Drosophila melanogaster: one gene and its partner. Changing the gene in region 1 together with any one later gene gives a genetic interaction. Each region holds a gene or a part of one and is shown on either strand. Other genes may lie near its edges. The genes, in order: Efa6 and RhoGAP18B.

The links.
Region 2: of Efa6 (region 1) and RhoGAP18B, changing one suppresses a phenotype caused by changing the other (phenotypic suppression), as found in Drosophila melanogaster (one study listed by BioGRID).

Annotation. Positions count from the first base shown.
Region 1 is NT_033777.3:22,585,834-22,589,759, forward strand, and holds the start of Efa6 (exchange factor for Arf 6), read left to right. Parts: upstream 1-1,921; 5' UTR 1,922-2,447; coding exon 2,448-2,585; intron 2,586-3,926. Other genes in the region: CG6937 (uncharacterized protein), read left to right, coding at 1-230; btn (buttonless), read right to left, coding at 316-792. UniProt on the Drosophila melanogaster protein: Guanine nucleotide exchange factor for Arf6. Regulates axon growth and branching by inhibiting microtubule polymerisation at the cortex. Together with shot, promotes axonal microtubule bundle integrity.
Region 2 is NC_004354.4:19,156,527-19,160,452, reverse strand, and holds the start of RhoGAP18B (Rho GTPase activating protein at 18B), read left to right. Parts: upstream 1-2,251; 5' UTR 2,252-2,333; intron 2,334-3,926.

The DNA of each region.
Region 1 (3,926 bases):
CCAGCGATGACAGCGACGAAGAGGAGGATTTATCACCGCCGCCCAAGCAGAAAAAGACTAAGCTGGCTGATAAACTGAAACGCAAGCCCGGCACTGGTGGTGTGCAGAAGAAGAAAATAGCTCCGCCGGCTAAGAGCAACAAGAATGCCGCCACCCAGAAGTTGCAGCTGGCCGCAGCCAAGTCGCTGGCCAAACCCTTGCCCAAGGGAAAGGCCAAGAAATCCAAGTAGTAGCTTAAAATACATTTACTATAGTTGTTAAGTAAGCGAAAACATTTTGTAAGATGAATTGTGTTAAAATATGTCCTTGTACAAACTAAAATGGCGTTTTGGCCGAGCTGCCTTGCTGCTCCTCCAGTTTGATGCGCTTGCACTTCATGCGTCGATTTTGGAACCACACCTTCACCTGGCGTTCGGTCAGCTCCAGCGCCACTGCGATTTCGTAGCGACGCAAGCGAGTCAAATAGTTGGAATAGCAGAACTCCGCTTCCAGCTGCTTGAGCTGCGTTTTTGAAAATGCTGTGCGTTCCTTGCGATTCGAGCTGATTGCCCGGAGTTTGGACCTTTGGCTTGGAAGTTCTTGACCAGTAGGTGCCTCATTTTGTAACCATTGATCGTTCGCTTCGTTGCACCAATTAGTTTCTAGTTTATTGTAATCCGCGTAGGAAGAAGACGCACTGTGGTCATATACATAGCTGCAGTCCGTATAGCCCTCCGTTTGGTTCAGCCACGATTTCGTAATATCCTCGTAGCAATAGGATTCTTGGTAGACGTTCGCGTGGGAGTTCTTCATTGCCGATGTCTTTGCTTCTAGGTCTAAACTATTACTGAAATCTCAGATTCGGCGGAGCTGCTTTTTAAACAAGGCGCAGAGTGTGCCAGGCCAATCTGCTTTTTCACTTAGTCGCAAATGATGTGCTGCTGATATGATAATTGTGCGCAACATCTGGACCTCGGGTATGAGTGGTTATGACACCCGCAGATCGGCTTGTTGTCTTTGCCTACGAACTGTTGTCACAACAAACCCGAATCCGATTCCCAGCCCCTTCCCCAGGCGTCCGGTCAGAAACGGAAGTGGACGCATGAGTCAAGTGCTTTGTGCCACCAACTGCGGAGCTATAAAATTTTAATAGACAACCGTCGGCGAGTCGTAAGACCCAGTCGGAGATTTATCTGAAAGTCGCAATTGCACGCGCTTTTAAAGTCGATGCGGCGGATTACGAGTGACCATTGAGTGTATATTCCTAGATAATCCATGACAAAGTGGAGTTTTATATAATAATTAATGGGGAAATAAGTGCGTGTCACAGAAATGGTTAAGGGATAAAATAGTTCAATAAAATAAGTCTTACGGGGGTTTTAGAAATTAGAAAAGAAATCAAAAAATTTTGATATCCTATTATGAAACCAATTATAAAATGGACACAGCAAAAACGTAAATTCTAGCTTCTGCTTATTTTTCTTGGGGCTTAGGTATACCCTTTTTTATTTGAGTTTTTATTAAATAATATACCGGTATATGAAAATTAACCGGTTCCGGTTTTAAATTATCCGCATTTATTTTCAAACTGAATAAGTGTTGGGTAATCTTTTTTGGTTAAGGCATAGGCACATTTCAAGTGTTGCCAGACTATGACATTCCAAAGGGCATTCAGTGATATCTGTTGTCCTTCGCTGTGTAGTTATTGTTTGGCTAGATTTATTCATATATTTCTTTTAATTTTCCTTTGTCAGCTAATAAATCTCATTTAATCTAGAAAAAGTATACAAGAGGTTTAAATATATCTATCGATAGAAATGAAGCAACGGTAGAAATACTTTCCGATATCTATCGATATATTAATACTTTTATGCTTCCCATCCCCAGTGCAATAGTACAATTTACAATTTACAATCATTTAGTACAATCTGCGATATCTGGGCATCCACATTCGCCAAAATATGTGCGGCTAAAACCCCCCGCGAACCGCTAAGCGGCGGCGAAACAGTCGGACAAAAGCGACATAAAGAAACGAAGCGAGAAGCAGACGGGCGAATTAAACAAGTTTCGTTTGCGTGGAACGCAGAATTGCGTGGAAAGAAAGCCAACGAAGTAGAAGAAGAAGCAGCGCAGCAAATGCAATAATGTTTAATGTTTAAACAAATTCGCCAAGGAGTTTCATTCTTTTTTTCAAATCGTCATCCGTGAGTGCGTGTATGAGTGTTTGTGAGCGTGTGTGTTTGTGTGCATGTTGTGAAGTGGAAAGAGTGAAAACAAAATGAGAGTGTGCAAATGAAGTTGGCCAAGCCCAAAACAGCGAGAATTAATTAAAGCGACTAAGAAAAGTGGCCGTCGCCCAAAGGATTAATCACGCCCAGGGGTTACCCACCCACACCGCCAACCAACCAAACGAAAACTCGGTGAAAAGAGTGTGAACCGATCGGCAGCAGGACGCCGAAGGACCCAAAATGAGCGAGGAACTGAAAGTGGTGCTGCGGCGCAGCGAGCAGCATTCCGGTTTCGGGTTTTCGCTACTCGGAACCACCGGACCGCCACATGTCATCTACGACATCGTCGAGAATTCGCCGGCAGCCGATTGCGGAGCGGTAAGTGAAGCAAACACAACAGCACACCGCAGTTGCAGCTCCTCTGCGCCTTTGTGTGTGCTGTGTGTCATTCCATTCCCGTCTGGGACAGGAGGACTGGCGGAGTCCTCACACCGAGCGGCCCATGCCACCCCCTCATATCCACCCACCGGTGACCTCCGACCACCTCTACCAATGACTTCATCAACCACCGGGCACTGGAAGCAGCCAGCGAAGAAGCAGAAGCAACAGCTCCCTTGCTGGGCTCACTTTTGGCAACGCCACATTTTAGACTACAGTAGAGCCTCGACAAGGCACACCGCCCAATAGCGGAATTTATTAAAGATCATTAAATGGAAATACGTAGCTGGCAAAATTGACAAAATTCATAGAAATCATGCCAGTTTCTAGTTAAGATTGCTGTTCTGCAATACTCATTTTTCCCTGGAATTTTGTGCTTTTCAGGGAATATTAAGGAGATTTTAGAGAATTGACAAAAAATTGACAATTGACAAAATTCATAGAAATCATGCCAGTTTCTAGTTAAGATTGCTGTTCTGCAATACGCATTTTTCCCTGGAATTTTGTGCTTTTCAGGGAATTTTAAGGAGATTTTAGAGAAGTGCAATAACAAATTGTGTGATTTCAGCACCGTTTTAAAATTTTTGAAGGATTTGTATACCGTCCAACTGCCGTTACATAAGCATTCAAACGGAAAACAAATTATTCATGACGTTTTATCTGACGCAAAGTGCATACGTACATATGTATGTATGTATGTACATACATAGATAAGTACGATTTTTTATGGCAGCTGGTGGCTTGAGTTTTGGAAGTTGGATTGTGTGCAAAGCGACCGAGACTCGCCCCTCGGCTGCTGATAAGAATATTTTCCACTTTTCCACTTCTTTTTTTTATGGTGATGACCATGGCTGTCTGCTGGCGTATGTGAAAGCATTTCAATTTGCACAACGGCAACAAAAAAAAAGCGAAAAAAGCGAGAAAAGCGCAAATGAGAGTCCTCCGTTGGCGTGTCATCATTGTTTGCCGCTCGTGATGTCATCGTTGCTTTAATTGATGGGTGGAAGGGCGCTGGAAGGGGGCGAGGGGCGGGTAGTCTCACACAAAAGCCAGTGTATCAATTTTCAGGCTTGTTTTGCTTTTATTTACTATTTACTGTCATCGCATCGCATCTCGAATGTTTAGAGCCGAGTGCAAAAGAAAACAAAGCGTGTAAATATAGCGAACAAAATAAGGCAAATAATTTGTCTTTCTTTTCAATAAAATGCTGATATGTTTACTGTTCGATTGTTTTTGCTGTGTAAAGATCAATTTATTGTCAATTTAATCGAATCGGAATTC
Region 2 (3,926 bases), on another chromosome or scaffold:
CCATCAGCCATCAACCATCATCCACGGGCCATGAGCCGTGGGCCACCCCTTTTAATTCTTCGTTTGTTTTTTTTTTTCGGGAAAAGAAGGCGGCCGAGGAACCCGCAGAAAAGCCAAACCAAATATGAGTCGGGGCAAAAAAAAAAAAAAAAGATGGAAACTGAAAGCGAAAACATGAGAAATATGTTCTTCAGGAATTAATTTACCAAGCACTGCGAATGTTAAATGCCCTACTCCGAGATATAATTCATAATTTATTAGCCGAATAAATATATATTAAATATATTTGGGTTTCAATTTATGCACTTAAAACTCATATGTGGTGGCGTGCTTTAAGATAGATATTAAATCTATAGTGTAAATCCCACACTTAGTCAACCCTAGAAAACCCTATGATTTATTGGTATATTCCTGCATATACACATACATACATAAAAGTACATATGTATGTATGTAGGGTAGCCGATAGCAAACAGTTGAATGCAATGTTGGTCACAGCCTGAATGCATTTCTTTATTTCGGTATGTGTGCGTATTTGTTGTTTTGTATCCGCATCTGTATTTGTATTTGTATTCGTATCTGGTGGATACATTTGATGCCGTCGGCAGCGAAGCCAACAACAACAATTGTGTTCATTGTGCTTAATTAATTTAGTTCAAAGATCAAGCGACCATATTGCTGAACATCGGCTGCAATGCGATTCTTCGCCGGCCTCTGCTCATTTTCATTTTTATTTTCATTTTCATTTTTATTTTTATTTTCATTCTCAGTCTCACTCTCATTCGCCTATTTTTTAAGTCTCTTCCCCGGAATTGTTGTTTTTTCCCCAAAGATGCATCCTCATCTTTTCTTTCTCTATTTGCTCCCGGTTCTGTTTTATATGGATTCCGATTTTTGTAAATATCGGTCGTGTACTATATGGATCTTCAAAACATGATTGCGAGCAGTATTATGAGGAACAGGATTATGAGGATTGGTTTCAAAATTCAATAAGAAATAAGAGAGCTTACGGTTCGTGCTGAAAGTGCAGTTCTCATTTTCATATCGGAATTGCTTGCAATAAAGTGTTGAGCAAAAGTATGTATGTACATATGTATATGCATATCGTAATCGGTTTACGCAACTGTTGTGCATAAATTGAACAGTGTTTAGCATTCATCATGGTTACTTACACAGCTCGATCCACCCGCCCAGCACCGCCCCCTCTGCGGTCCCAGAACCGACCCCAGCCCCCCCCTTTTTTTGCACCCCCTACTCCCAACTCAGCCGAACTGAAAAACAAACTCCCAACCCTCGACAGCACCCCCCCCCCCTTTACCACCCTCCTTCAGGGACCGCACTCGATATGCTTAATTAGGCAACGGGCGTTGAGTATAAAAAGCGTCTTTTGTCGCTGCCACGCCCCACCCTTACCCTCTCACCCCCTCATTAGCCCATGCCACCCCCAACCCTTACACACACACGCACATTCGTGAATGTGGTGGCGCACAGCCAGACAGAGCCACACATGTTGCCCATGTTCCATTACACACATGTGGTTCGGTTTCAGTTCAGTTTTAGGTTTGTTCTGCTCTGCGCTGTTCTGTTCTGTTCTGGGCTTTTGCCTCCCCATCACTGATCTCTGGCCCACACTGGTCAGCATGACATGGGTACGAAGGATAGTTTCAAGCTCGGTTGACATGAGTCATAGTTTCACCGATGATGAATCACAGCTCATAATGGTCCATAGTCATGGTCATAATAATGATCCATAGACTTTGCCTATAAAAGTAAATAACTGTAAGAAATGTATTAGACAAGGCAAGAATTTCTATTGAATCTTATATTAATTTAAAAAGTTTTATTCTAAAGAAACTTATTGATGATATAATTTTGTAAGGCTGGCATATATAGTTAGCATTTATAGTTTTTAAAAATACTGATATATCCTGTAATATATGTATTATATTTCATTTGAATATCTGAAATATTTGAAATTACCCGCTTATAATTCCCAACTTGCTTTTTCATCGGAAGCAACAAAATTTTGTTGCGGGCTTTGGGGGTTAGTGCCCACTTTTGCTGACTAGTGTGGAGTGCTCGAGTTCCCTGGGTGACCGGAGGTCGGCATCGCCATAGCCATAGCCACCGCCACCGACTCGTGGCGTCGACTGCGACTGCGACTGCGACTGCGCGGCGACTGCGACGTCAATCGCTTACGAGGCGGACCGCCACCCAAGAAAATTCTCGGCGGCATCTTGAGTTCAATTTCAGTTGATATTCTGTTAAATTCGCGAACGCGTCGCGCCTGCAGCTCCCGATTTGATGGAGAGCCCCACCTCAAGCCCAATTTCGTAATGCTCCCATTTAAAGCTCGGCTTATCAGTGCTGGCCAAAATCGGTGCTTTTTGTTTTGGTGCTCGGGTTTCGGTATTGAAGCCCACCAAGTGCCTCGATCGATCTACAATAGTTTTAATAATAAAACAGTGCATTTGGGGAAATTGGAGAGAAAGTGAGATAAGCGCTGCGAGATAACGGGACCAATCCCGTTTTATTTGTTCCTTCCTTTCGCCCATAATATGGGTGTGTGTGCTCATGTGTTTCTTGTGAATTACAGTATATTGCTTTTACAATGGCATTCATCGTCATTTATTCATTTGTCGCGCCATCTGAAAATGAACGGCGATGAATCATCGGCATAGGCAAATCAGCGGATTACCCACAATCCACACTGATTGCATTGCTGTCTCCTTGGGGGCTGCACAATTTGGACAGGTTTTATTGACGGGGTCAAGAAGGTCTCGATCGAATGCCCAAAAGTATGCAAGTTTATCACCAAGGCGCCCGAAAAACCAAAGTTTTGCGGTTTTGTTTTTTTTGTATTTGAGGAATCAAACTATAAACTGTGTATTTTGCCAGTGTTTGAAGTTAAACTTAGTTAATTGGGTTCAACAAAATATATATCATAATCATATTAAAAAATATAATATTCAATTGGTTGTGCTACAGCTATTTTTATAGCTATTTATAACGAAACGGATTTTCTGAATGAAAATTTTTAAAAAAGTATATGAATTCGGTATCAATATATTTTTTCTATGCTATTGCTGCATTTTGGTGATTCGTATCAGTACATAAAAACATTTTATTAATGAAATTTTAACACTTTAAAGTGAATCGCAAGCATTTCTTAAGTCATGAAGGATTTGAAATATATACTTTCAAAATTTCCAAAATGAACAACAAGCCCAGTGATGTCAGGCTTCTAAATAGTTTATTCACTTATTTATTAATAACTATGCTTCAGAACCTTCAGACCCTAGGGATTCAATTTAAGAATTGTTTATTTTGTAGAAAGCTAATTAGTTCAGAGAAATGCTCCTAATGAGACCACAACAATTATATTAGTGAAAACACAGTCAATCAGTTATGAAGAATTCCACAAGCCTTTTGTTTGCTATTAAAATTCAAATAGTTTGGAACAATTAAGTGTATGGCTCTTTGTTAAATTATTTCTCGGATTGTTAATATATCACGCAAGTAATTAATCAAGATTTTCTATTTAAATAAATTCGGTTTCTGTATAATTTGTGTGTTTTTTATCAGAGAAATGAATATCTTATAGAATGTTCTGTAAAATTATCTTTTAAAGGACAACCCAAACATGATTATAAAGAATTGAAAATTAATAATACAGGTTATTGTCCAAGCAAACAAGACAACCATTGACCATTGACCCTGATTCTAGACCAAAGTATGATTAACAACACCGTGAAAACGCTTTTACCTACCAACCAACCAACATTTGTGGTACCTAACGATCCAAATCTGTTGTATTTTGAAATATGGTGGTAGGCTACTCTCGACTGGATTTGAATCAGTTTTATTTAAATGACGCTGTAACAACAATTGGTGGTGTTGGAGAATGCGAAACATGTTTTAAGCAC